Daphnia pulex: one gene and its partners. The protein of the gene in region 1 interacts with the protein of each later gene in a pairwise test. Links are inferred from orthologs where the notes say so. Each region holds a gene or a part of one and is shown in the gene's direction. Other genes may lie near its edges.

Region 1 (4,282 bases):
CTCGTCAATCGGATGGGAGAATCTCAGGCGATGATGTTTCCATCGTTCTTTTTCAATTTGAGAACAATGCGGATCGTCTTTGGTTTGTAGACGATCGTGACCCCATCAATGCAACGTGTCTTTTCCTTCCTTTTTTTCCAGACTCGAATGTCATATATTGAAAACCCTCTCGCTTGTGTATCTCTTTGGCGTTATAGTCGCTGTGTATACACAGCAACACGATATCCCGCCGAGAAATGAGAGTCTCCTTCCAAAAAATCATTTTTGAATATTTCAAACCCGTCGTCGCGGTGTTGATCTCTTTCGAGTGCGGTTCGCAGCAATTCTTTTCTTGAATGACTTTTGTTCAACACGAAAAAAGAGAAAAAAGAGTCGTGCGATGCTGTGCGACTTCCATCAAGTCAGTCGAAATAAAAAAGGATAGCTAGACTGAAAGCTTCAGAATAAATATTGAACCAGCTAGCAGCATATAGGCGAATGCGCTCTTTTGAATGTAGATGTCTAGGGTAGACAGTGTAAATCCAACATCAAGCATGCAGCACGGCAGCAATATCTGTCGCCTTTCAGAGTTGATGCCGTATATAGTACTACTACTATACTGTGTGCAGCAGCAACCAAACCCAACTCTCCCGGGCGAGTCTGTGTCAGAGATATATAGTATATAGTGTAGAGTTGCTTGGTCCAACTTCAAACGAGAAAAGAGCCCTGGATGGAATATAAGACGACGAAATGGAGAAAGAGAGAGAAAGTATATGTGTCTATGGTCTTGGATGATGGATTATTCGAGTTATGGATGAGGAGGAGGCTATATAGCTCGCGCAAAACTTTCGCTCGACTCCTACTGTACTACTACATTATCGCTTTCATGCATATACAGAACCGTTTCTCTGCTGGGTTTATTTTATGTATATTTTTTTTGCTTCGCAGATGAGCAGTCTCTAATATCTTCTTGGGGAAAAAAAAAGAAATTCCGAGAATGTCAAGAAATATGGTGGACATAAACGGGAGAAAAAGTAGATTTAATGCGATTAATGGCTCATTGGACGATGGAAAGCGCTCGTGGTGGATGAAGGAATATCTGCCAAATCCCCCATTTCCATAATGCGATTGACTTTTATTGCTTACATTTCCATATTCAACATTTTGGGATTTTTCTGGGTTTTTTTTAAAGACGGGAGCATGTCCGCCGCGCATCCATGCCCGGCGGCAGCAAACGTCATGTTTACTCGTGATCGTTATTCATGGAGAATAATATTTCTTATGAATAATTGAAAATAAATATGGAGCCATCGCTATACATATCGATCCAGTATATTTTTGTTGTCGTAAATCTTCACCCTTTTTTTCCAACGTCTTTAAGCTGTAAGCTCCATTACTCTCTAGTTGTCAGGTGGACTAGGCTAGGGGGTGGGGTATTTTAAGGGAGGGGCGAGCATGTATACGGAAAATCGGCAACGCCGCACCCTTCCTCAACGGAACATTTTCAAAAATCCAAGCGTTTTCCCTCGATACTCGTCGTCGGGATGCCAACTGTAAGCCACAAGTGAACCGTTTTACAAGAAAGCTTCAAATTACAACGGGGATTTCTGTTGTCTTCCATCATTAAGAGTGTTTTATTTTTGGTATGTGAACGTTTTTACTTTTTTTTGCTGTTAAAAATTTTTTCTAAAGCATTTTGTGTGTCACTTTTCTTTGGTTTTCAAATCACACCCAAACAAGTGTCAATTGTAGTGGTGTTCCAAACTGTCTTATTTTCTGGTTGTCAACAGTTAGAAAGAGTCTTAAACATTTTATTTAAGGGTTTGATTGAACTTATTGAGATATTTAAACATTTTTAGTTTTAATTATTGAAAATTGTATAATTAAAAATTTGTTGATGTGTTGTTTCGCCAAACTTCAAACTGGTCCCCCGTTGTGGCATTGACATTAATGGATTCTTATTTAGGTTTTCCCCTAGCCATGTCTGCCAAGCAGGTATCTGTGTTGGCTCAGTATGATGACCTGTGCAGAGGCTTCAATTACTTTGTCAACAGTTCTGAAAAAGGTAAATTGCTCAAGACAATGTGTGGCAATCATTGCATTTGACACTTTCCTTCTTTTTAGAATTCCTCAAGTTTGCCGTTAATCAGGAAGCTTGCCGCCAGAAATGGCTCGAAGCTGAAGCAGAGCTCAAACGTCTGCACAATCAGTTGAATGAAGTCAACAAAATGAATGGCAAATTAGAGCTGCAATACCACCATGCTACTGTTTTGCTGAAAAATGAGATCAAAGTCAGAAAGCAAGTGTCTGACGAGAAAAAGTCTTTGGTATGTTATCTGCAACATTATTATCACTCTTTAATGTTTACCATCAATGTCTCGTCTGCACTTGTTTTACAGGAAAAGCAATTGCACGTTGTACGTGAAATCGTGTCAGCTGAGAAAGATATTCGAGATGAGACACGTGAAAAGCTGGCGATGCTCAGCAACACAGGACGCTACTCGCGTGGCAATTTCGATTCGCCTGGTGACCGATTAAACACAATCAACGAGCTCAACAGCACCGGCTCGCTCTTGGCGTCATTCGACCTGACCACTGAACGCACAGAGGAAGAACTCGAGCTCTCAGTGATGCGTTCCAGTCGGGCACCTCGAGGTAAAAGGACATCGGAAGGAATGTACAATCTCGACAACTCGAAACGATACAAGGCGTCGTCTAATCGCGAGGTACAGTTCAAAGTTTCCCTCGTTTCTGTGACATTAGTTACCAACTCTCTTTTCTTTGTTTGCATTTAAAGAATATCATGGAAGTGTCCGGTCACGAACGCGTGGTTGCCACAACGACAGTGACTGTATCCAAGGGAGGTCCAATCACAGCCACATCTATTATTGAAAACCATCCCGATATGGGCAGGGAAAACGATATCAGCAATGCAACACCTAAAAACCAAAGAAAGCGCAGTTCTAGCGAACCGGGAATCCTACCGAACGCTCCTCCGCAGTGTAAGAGATAAATTGTCTTGATTGCCTGGCCACAACAATGGGAACAACAGCTAATTAATTGTTTGTTGACAAACTAGATTTGATCGAATCATCTTGGGAACTTCCAGATGGCAAGACTCCCGTGGCCATCCGCCGTCCGAGTGCTAATCCGTCGGCTTCAGCGCACTCGACCCACACGCTTGGCGGAACTGCGTACTTGCGCACTATGGCTTCTGGTGGGCGAATCAATCAGCGCCAGCACACCTTCAGCCAGAAAACCATCATCAAACCAGAGAACTGCCTCCCTTGTGGCAACAGGTGAGGAGTGTTGTATTTTCTTTGCGTTGGGAAACGTGCTGGGCTTTAATTTAATTAGTGAAACCTCTTATTGCGCAGGATTAAATTTGGCAAGCCCGCCTTGAAGTGTGTCGAATGTAGAGGAACTTGTCACGTTGATTGCAAGTCCCGCATGCCCATGCCTTGCGTCCCGACTGTTCAAACACCCTCTAATAAGGGATTCGTCGGAACCGTTGCTGATTACGCTCCCAACATCTCTCCTATGATCCCCGGCATTGTCATTCACTGCGTCAACGAAATTGAGCGCCGCGGATTGACAGAGGTTGGCATCTATCGTGTCAACGGTTCCGAAAAGGAAATTAAAGACATGAAGGTAATTTCATCACTAGGAATCGAACCCCAAATTTGATCAGTCCCAAATGACAGCCCTTTGATTTATTCAATTTCAGGAGCGCCTCTTGCGTGGCAAAGGCCAGCCGACTTTGTCTCAAATTGATATTCACGTTGTCACTGGCACGTTGAAGCTGTTTTTCCGCTCGCTGAAAGAGCCACTCATTACCTACACGCTGTGGGACAGTTTCGTTCGGATCGCCGAACTTGCCGATGAAATGGATATTCAGACCACTGTGTACTCGCTCGTTCCCGATCTTCCGCAACCTAATCGAGACACTCTAGCATACGTCATTCTTCACCTTCAACGGTAAAACTTGTGCGGGATTGAAAGTTGTGTTGGCATCAACTTAATTGTTGCGATTTTGTTTGAACAGCGTCGCAGAAGCTGAGGTATGCAAGATGCCAATTACCAATTTGGCCAGGATCTTTGGCCCGACCATAATTGGTTACTCGTGTCCAGATCCGCTTCCAGAAATGGCGCTCAAGCAGCTTAAGAAACAGCACTTGGTAAAAAGTTTTTCCTTTCCCTATCTCAGATTTGCAGGGCTAATACTTGTGTCGTTATGCAATTACAGACCATGGAGAGGCTCTTGCTCATCCCGAGTGATTATTGGGCTCGCTACGTGGACGTG
Region 2 (3,979 bases), on another chromosome or scaffold:
AACCTTCATTTTGACACAGAAGAAGAGATTCGTAATTTAGAATTTCTCAAAATTCGATTTGGAGAAAACGAATTGCACAATTGCGAAGTGATGCTCAAGGACGTGGCAGACTCCAAGAGAATCAACACCCACCTACAGTCGGTCGTGCACAAACCTGAAGTACGTTTTTAATTCGTTTAGCGCATCGATAAATAAAAGTTAATTTTTTTTCTATTTATTTCCATCCAGTTTCCGATTTCGGCTATGATTATATCAGCTCAGTATTGGGACCAGCTGAAGGACAAACCGATGAAGTTGCCGATCAAAATCATCAACCAGCTCGAACAATATAATCAAAACTATAAAACGGTGAAAACGAGTCGTTCTCTGCATTGGGTACCTCAGTCGGGTTCTGTGGAACTGGAACTGGAGTTTGATAATCACCGTTGCGTGTCTTTCACCGTCCCGCCCGATTTGGCTGCCATCATATCTCATTTTGAAGACAAGGATCAATGGGATTTGGAAGAGCTTAGCCAGGAAATGGAATTACCAATGTCTCATCTTCGAAGGCGAGTTCACGTGTGGCAAACACACGGGGTCCTCCAGGAAATTTCTACTGATCGCTTCAAAGTGGATGAAAATGGACCAAATTTCACAGGACATAAGGTATATCTTAAAAAGTTATTACCGTTTCTCAAATGTATGTATTTTGCAATTACGTCCTTTTCGTAGATTCTTTTAGAAACGCTAGCGAAAATGGAGGAAGAAGAAGAAGATGACGACGAGGAAGATAGTGAGAAAAAAACGGAAGAAGATGGTTTGCAAGTTTATTGGTCGTACGTTGTTGGCATGCTGACAAATCTCGAAGCCCTTCCAGTTGAGCGTATTCACCAGATGCTTAAAATGTTTACAATGCAAGGCTCTAGTGGGGCAGAGTGCACTCTGCAACAGTTGAAAAATTTCCTTGATTCAAAAGTTAAGCAACAGTTGTTGTCTTTCTCCTCTGGAATGTATAGACTCCCCAAACCATGAACTAATTTTTTTAATGATAATTTAAAAATGTGTATTCATTACAATAAATTTTCTGAAGTGATTACCTCTGTAATGAAATAAAAAGTTGTTAAAATACGTTTAATATTTGTATTCGAATTTTCAAATTTCAATGTCATAAATAAGTCAGGTTACTGGCAACGCTGTATTTCGAATTCACACCTGGCGATTTGGCGATGCTGCACTCAGTTTGAATGAAACGACAATCGACAACGGCCAAAAAGTTTGCCCACTGCACAGACAAATCGGTTTACATTTTGAAATCCCTCATTCGTTTTAAATATTTGACAGGGGTTCATAAGTACTGAACCGAATAGGCTCGAAAATGAAACCATCGTAAGTTTTCTACAAACCGTATTAGTGTGTGATTTGTGTTTCGTGCTCTCTTCATGTCCGATTATGCTCTTTTTTTCACTATGCTTTGTATACGAAAGAAGTTAAGAATATGTTTTATGTTGATCTTAGGCGATTGAAGATTGCACCTAAGGTGCCAACCAAACCACCAATTACCCCAGCACGGTCCAAACAAGCATTGATGACTTCCAGAGATCGGGATCCTGTGCAAGTGTATTGCAGAATCAGACCTCTTGATGTCCCCTCTGATGATTCGTGTGTAACTGTTTTAAGTGACACTGTAGTTCAAGTTGTACCTCCAGAAACTTCTCAAGGTTACAGAAGTGGAACGACAAAAGTAAGTTGACACTTTATTTCCCAGCAATTTATTTTTGAAAGTACTTTCAGTATTTTAATCTTGCTTTCTTTTTGATAGGCAACACAATATACATTCACTGGTGTGTTTGACGAGAAGACCACACAGAAACCTATTTTCCACACTGTGACTTTACCGCTAATAGAAGACTTGCTTCATGGAAAGAATAGCTTGCTATTTGCCTATGGAGTCACAGGATCAGGAAAAACACACACAATGAATGGTGAGCTGCAGGATGGTGGCATTATCCCTCGTTGTTTGGATGTTATTTTTAACAGCATTGGTCACTACCAGGTATTTCAAAAATAAAAATGTCGCAATACAGTTGTACTAACTAATCTTCAATCTACCAGGCTAAAAAGTATATCTTCAAACCAGATAAAATGAACAGTTTTGAAATCCAAAGTGAAATTGATGCATTATCAGAAAGGCAATCTGAAGCTCAAACTTCAAACAAGTTCAAGTAAGAATACCAAATTCTTAAAAATTTTTGAAACAATCTAATTATAATTGCGATACTTTAGGACACCTGCACGCAGAGGACAAGAGAACGAAGGGCCGCGCGTAACGGATGCTACACGGATTTCAGCATTAGATGAAGACCAGGCTTATTCAGTTTTTGTAACGTTTGTTGAAGTTTACAACAATACAGTCTTCGATCTGTTGGACGATACTCCTATCGATCCTCTTCGACCTGGCAAGATACAATCAAAAATCTTACGAGAAGACCAACATCACAATATGTAAGTGAACAGTTCACTTGTTAAGGTGAGCTGCTTTAACCTATTTATTTGCAGGTATGTTCATGCTGTGACTGAAGTTGAAGTTAAGTCGGCCGATGAAGCTGCTGAAGTTCTTGCCAAGGGACAAAAGCGACGCCGTGTTGCTCACACTACTCTCAACGCAGAGTCGAGTAGAAGCCACTCCGTATTTAACATCCGCGTTGTTCAGGCTCCGCTTGATTACCAGGTATCATCGATCGATCACTAAGTCTGCGATTTTAATTAAAAAACTAATCAATTGTTAATTTTAAGGGTGCCATTCCAGAGAAGGTGCTAACTGTAGGACAGCTCTCATTAGTTGATCTTGCTGGTTCAGAAAGAAACAGTCGAACTAAAACCACTGGCGAACGTTTGCGTGAAGCTGGTAGCATCAACAACACCTTGATGACGCTTCGATCTTGCTTGGAAATTCTGCGCGAAAACCAATTGAATGGCACTAATAAAATGGTGCCCTACCGTGATTCTAAAATCACACATCTTTTCAAGGTAAGCGTCCTGTCAAGTTCATAATGTATCTAATATTACTAAATGCTAAAATGTTTTGTAAACAGAGTTACTTTGACGGCGAAGGAAAGGTTAGAATGATTGTTTGCGTGAACCCGCGTGCGGATGATTACGACGAAACTCTTTCCGTGATGCGTTTTGCTGAAATGGCTCAAGAAGTGCAAATCGCTCGTGCCGTACAGCCCAATATTCGCTTGGAAGCTACTCCTCGAGCAACGCCAGCTGGAAGAGACGCCCTTCTCCCAGGCCGCAGAAAGGCCAATCGTGTTCTAACCGAGGCATATCGCAAACTGGAACAGGTTTTTATTCCATCAATGCGAGTTTATTAGTCTCATATTTAACTTCAATGTGATTTTGCAGGGTGGAATTTCGAACCCCCAATCAGAAGTGCCGTTTGACATTGATATGGTTTTCAGTGCGGCTCGCTGTTCGTGGCCTCCTCTGGAATTACAATCAGCATCGGATGATCGACTTATAACGGCCTTGGTTGAGTATCTGCAGGTAGTTGTTTTATATTTCAGCATAAATTTGCGAATGCTATACACGTGTGTAATTCCTTTCTCAAAGGTGCGAATCCGTGATCAACAGAGTCGCCGGGAGCAGCAAATGAAGAAATGTGTCGAAGTCCGAACTCTTATTCGTGAAATGGAAGAGGAGCTCATTTTGAAACGTCAAGAGAACTTGAGTTTGAACGAGCAATTAAAAGATGAGCGTTCGCGTTGTCAAACATTTGAAAACCGTGTCCTCAATGCGGAATCGGCTAACGCTACCTTACAGCGCCATGTACTCGAGCATCAAAAATACGCCAGGTAAATATTCCCAGATAAAAACGGCTATTCACCAGTTTTTAATTTTCGTCTTTCTCATTTAAGGTTGTTGGAAGAAGAGTTGAAGGAGAAAGATTGCCTTCTTAATCAGGGTGAGATGGAAATCCAACACGTAAAAGCCAAGGAGA
Region 3 (4,238 bases), on another chromosome or scaffold:
TAGTTTTTGCATGCTCAGCTTCCTATCTTCACTTTTTCGTCTGTGCGCAACATAGAGCATTTTAATTTCGAATAAGTGCATATCACAGTTCGGTGAAGTATATGGAATCTGGACGGAAGACCGCTTATTAAACACTTAGTTTTCTCAGAAACATTCATCCATATGTTCCCACAATACATAACTTGGGTATTTGTGATTTACTAATGTTTCACTGAAGAAAGATAGATGAGCCAAGAATAAGTCGATTGCTGGATCAGTACTTCATGTGCCGGGTTTTCTGATTCACCGGTAACTACTGTGCGCCTGATGTGTTTCTAATGTTGCTATTTGCCATGGTGATACAAGTTATACATCAAAACTTCTCTTTTCATTTTATCGTGTACTGTTACTGCAAAATAAGAATAAAATAAAAAGGGGAGAATTCTAATTTTATCCTTCAAAACAAAACAAAACATAAGAAATGCCTCGTGCAACGCCTGCAGACCCACTGGCCAAACACTAATAAGTCAACTAAATATGTCGTAATTTAATTTGTAAGTGGGGGTGGCGTATATCTACGTTTTAAAATCCTTCGTTGTTAATAGAAAAGTGAAAGAAAAGTAGAAAAAAGCTCGCAAATTGTTGCTTCCTTTTTTATTACCAAATCATGTTGCGTAATCACAGTTTACGTCTTCTTTAAATTCAAAAAATGATTGTACAACCACTTGCTCGATAAGAGTCAGTCATTGTTGCTATTATTTGAAAGCTGAAAATTTATGAAAATCTAAATTAAGTGATATATGGCTATATGCAGGCTGTGAGCCTGTAACCAAAATTGCCAACTTAAATATTTCCTAAATGGAAGTGAATTTCGTCATTCTGATTCTGATAAAAAAAATTTCGTCAAATCCGGCTTGAAATCGAAAGATGAATAACGTGAAAATTTTAGAATTCGAAATTTCTTTCCGGATTTAGTTGAAAGCTTCAAGCGGGGCTTAGTTATTGAGCGCATTGTCGCCTTGTCGGGTTAATTTAGCTCCATGTATATATAACACTAGTTTTAAGTTGTTGTCCAAGTTGCTGATATTAGCACGGCTTTATTCAGTGTCAGAAGATTAATCAATGACTCCATATTGATTTTCCGTTAATTTTTGAATATTTGAAATTTGGAAATTGACAGAAAAATTGCTACTCAGTGAAGCTTCTCTTTTTTTAAATTAACCATTTAATATATAAACTTTCATTGAAATTGTAGCTTTAAAAATTGTATTACTCAAATGATTAAAACAATTCTGCGTCAATTTACTACATTTTCTACCTCAGAATACAGAATCCACAAGAAAGCAGTAATTTAGTAAACAACCAAAGAATATCTAGGTTAGCCATTTGTAATAATAGGTTTTGTGTTGGCTAATGTCCTGTAGCGCCAACTAGTGGGTGTGTAACGTAAGTGTCAAATTTGAAATAGGACTGTTGGGACTTGGGACTTCAACGGTTCACAACGATAACGTACTCACAGTCGGTTCTTACATATTGCAGTCTAGTTTTGGTTTTTTAGCTGTTTAAAACTCACGCGAATCGTTAGGAGCACGATATTTCGACTATAGACTCGGTTACAAATATCACAAAAAACGTTGCAGTAAAGTAATAAGTACTCACTCAAGTCTCTTACTGGATACAATTTAATCACATGTTTGTCACATCTTCATTGTTTGAAGAAAATGGATTTATTTACTCAGGTCTGCATATTTTTTTGTTATGGTGCCATCAAAATATTTTCACTTTTGATTTCATTGATGTTGTGTTGTCATACTTACAAGTTGTATTAACATTTTTCAGAACATGATAAAAAGAACAAAGCAGAGGCAAGAGATGATGAAAGTGAAGCCCAACTCCGGGTTGGGCTCATTGTCATCTAGTAAACTAGAGAATCAAACCATTCCATCAAATTCAAGCCAAATTTCAGATATTGATGAAAACATACCATTGTGTAATTTCGAGGAAAAAAGAAATGTAATTCGAAAGGAAAATGATGCAGGTATTTATTTAAACAACTAATTTAATTGTGTGGGTTGAGGCAGAAACTATTTCACTGTGGTTCATTAACTATGCATCAAGTTCTAAAAAAAATGGAAAACTAAAGTATTTTGTTCCGTTATCTTCTTTAATAGGTATCAAACATTTAAGACACAGCCCTACAAAAATTGAGGTTCCAAGTGATCAAACTTCTCCATTACAAGTGTCAAGAAAAACTAGATTGGAAGCTCTAGCCTACCGGATAAATGATTGGGTAGATGAATCTGTTGTAGCTCCTAAACCAATTTCATCCACTCCTGAGAAAAATCCTAGAGGAACCAGTACTCCTTCTAAAATAAGAGATACAACTACTTTGAAGTCTGCAGCAAGTGTGAAATCAGTGGTAGGTTCTCATAATTATCTTTTCTTTTAATATTAAAACAAATTTACTTCTATTGTCCACCTCACAGTTACAAGAATGCACTCCTGTGAAAGTATCTGGAAATGAGGATGTATCAACTCCTTACAAATCACTTGCGTTAGATAAATCGGTTCTCCAAAGCTTGGTATGAACAGCGAAGATTGATCTTCATCTTAATAGACTTTAATTGTATTTGTGTTATCCTTTCTATTCTACTTTGTTTGTTAAAAAAAATTATGAATAGGAATCCCAAGGTTTCACACCAACTGAATCACGGTCTCGTTTAATATACGAGTTTGAGAAAGAGCAAGAAAACGAAATAGAAGAAGAAACAGCCAAGTCTTGGACGTTTACTGCCGGATCGCCGCATAAATCAGCATCTCCCTTGAAAACCAGATCACCTGCTGGTGTTACACATTCAAGCAATACTCCAGCAAAGCCAAAGGGACCAGCAAGTCAGTTGGCTGGAAAATTTTCTAAGAGACCATCAGGTGGTCTAATATCATCAGATATGAAATCAGCCAGAATTTCTCAGAATATACGAGAGAATCACGAGTCTACCCCTTCGTCATCGAGCGCTGTGGAACTAGAAAAAAAGAAGCCTGAAAATAGAATGCGTTCTGTGCAGGAGTTGGCTGCTCAATTCGATTCGCCTCGCGTGCCAATGAAAGATCCAGCTGAAATGACAATTTCGGAAAGGAAGGCACTCTTTGAACACAACAAAGGCCAAATTTCTAATTCTAAACTACGAACACCACAAACAAGTCGTTCTGTTATTTCGCCACGGACGACAGCCATCGATTCGAAGAATAAAGGAAATCTCGATTTTTATATGAAAGAGAAATCTAATTCTCCACTCTCGGTTGTGTCTGGTAAAAGAAGTTCACTTTCTTTCGCGTATTTTGTCTAACACTTCCTTTGTTGTATTTTCAGAGCTTTCAAGCGTACAAACTGCTAAATCAAACCACTTTAAGGAGCAGCAGAACCCAAGGGGTGGCAATATCACTAAAATGTCGGAACCGCTGACCCATGGAGCAGCAACTTCAAGTCCTATCTCTAACTGCACGCCGAAGCCGAATATTATGAATACCGTTGCTTCGTCTTCCAAGGAATATAATTTAGATCAACCATCGAGTGGCATGTTTCGCAATATTCATGCCGAACCATCGCTTGACAAAAATATCGAAGAACAGCAAAAACCTTCCGGGGCGCTGTACGCAGGAATTCATCAAGTTCGTCCCATAAGAGTATCCCCTCCTAAACCGGGTAAACTCTATCCGTGTTTGTCAGATATTGACAGCGTAACAGAAAACGAATCAGAGTCAGATGAACAACAAACGGACAATACTCCAAAAAGCACAGAGTATGTATACACAGTTAATTAGTTACATCCAATTCAATATTTCAAAAATATTTGTCTAATTTGTAAATTGTAATTTTATCAGTGGTGGCGATTTGAGAGCAGGTTACGATTTGGATAGTAGCTTCACTATTGAAATTCTTGGGCGAGCAGGTTTGAGTCAATTCATCAATACTCCCAAGAGGAAACTGACAGAAATGCAACTGGATAAACCACAGGTGCGCCCTAATCTTGGTGTGAAAGAAATCATTTCGGTAAACAAAATTTAAAAGAATCATAGCAAAATTTGTTGATACCCGGTTAACCATTGAATCAAAATTGAAATAGGATGATGATGACTCAACGGATATCAGTGACCTACTAGATGAAGCATTGGGTGATACTGAACATTCCGTGTCTCCCAAACATCAGAAAAGGGATGATTGCGATCAATTAACATTGGAAGATGATGGCCTTGCCATT

The links. The genes of interacting proteins can lie anywhere in the genome.
Region 2: the proteins of rac GTPase-activating protein 1-like (region 1) and kinesin-like protein KIF23 interact in a two-hybrid assay, tested with the Drosophila melanogaster proteins (3 studies listed by BioGRID). The link is inferred for Daphnia pulex from reciprocal best matches to the Drosophila melanogaster genes tum and pav.
Region 3: the proteins of rac GTPase-activating protein 1-like (region 1) and anillin-like interact in a two-hybrid assay, tested with the Drosophila melanogaster proteins (2 studies listed by BioGRID). The link is inferred for Daphnia pulex from reciprocal best matches to the Drosophila melanogaster genes tum and scra.

What each region holds. Positions count from the first base shown.
Region 1 is NC_060028.1:9,420,426-9,424,707, reverse strand, and holds the start of rac GTPase-activating protein 1-like, read left to right. Parts: upstream 1-1,477; 5' UTR 1,478-1,622; intron 1,623-1,945; 5' UTR 1,946-1,959; coding exon 1,960-2,044; intron 2,045-2,103; coding exon 2,104-2,306; intron 2,307-2,378; coding exon 2,379-2,705; intron 2,706-2,776; coding exon 2,777-2,981; intron 2,982-3,058; coding exon 3,059-3,278; intron 3,279-3,356; coding exon 3,357-3,630; intron 3,631-3,706; coding exon 3,707-3,957; intron 3,958-4,024; coding exon 4,025-4,157; intron 4,158-4,225; coding exon 4,226-4,282.
Region 2 is NC_060023.1:8,671,712-8,675,690, reverse strand, and holds the start of kinesin-like protein KIF23, read left to right. Parts: upstream 1-1,176; 5' UTR 1,177-1,354; coding exon 1,355-1,365; intron 1,366-1,494; coding exon 1,495-1,720; intron 1,721-1,798; coding exon 1,799-2,032; intron 2,033-2,091; coding exon 2,092-2,201; intron 2,202-2,262; coding exon 2,263-2,481; intron 2,482-2,535; coding exon 2,536-2,707; intron 2,708-2,772; coding exon 2,773-3,006; intron 3,007-3,071; coding exon 3,072-3,323; intron 3,324-3,384; coding exon 3,385-3,525; intron 3,526-3,591; coding exon 3,592-3,833; intron 3,834-3,896; coding exon 3,897-3,979. Other genes in the region: anaphase-promoting complex subunit 2-like, read left to right, coding at 1-159, 229-645, 712-1,011.
Region 3 is NC_060019.1:5,226,216-5,230,453, reverse strand, and holds the start of anillin-like, read left to right. Parts: upstream 1-1,435; 5' UTR 1,436-1,623; intron 1,624-1,697; 5' UTR 1,698-1,700; coding exon 1,701-1,718; intron 1,719-1,818; coding exon 1,819-2,017; intron 2,018-2,150; coding exon 2,151-2,398; intron 2,399-2,465; coding exon 2,466-2,561; intron 2,562-2,660; coding exon 2,661-3,288; intron 3,289-3,349; coding exon 3,350-3,779; intron 3,780-3,861; coding exon 3,862-4,030; intron 4,031-4,103; coding exon 4,104-4,238. UniProt on the Drosophila melanogaster protein: Required for cytokinesis. Essential for the structural integrity of the cleavage furrow and for completion of cleavage furrow ingression and proper formation of the midbody.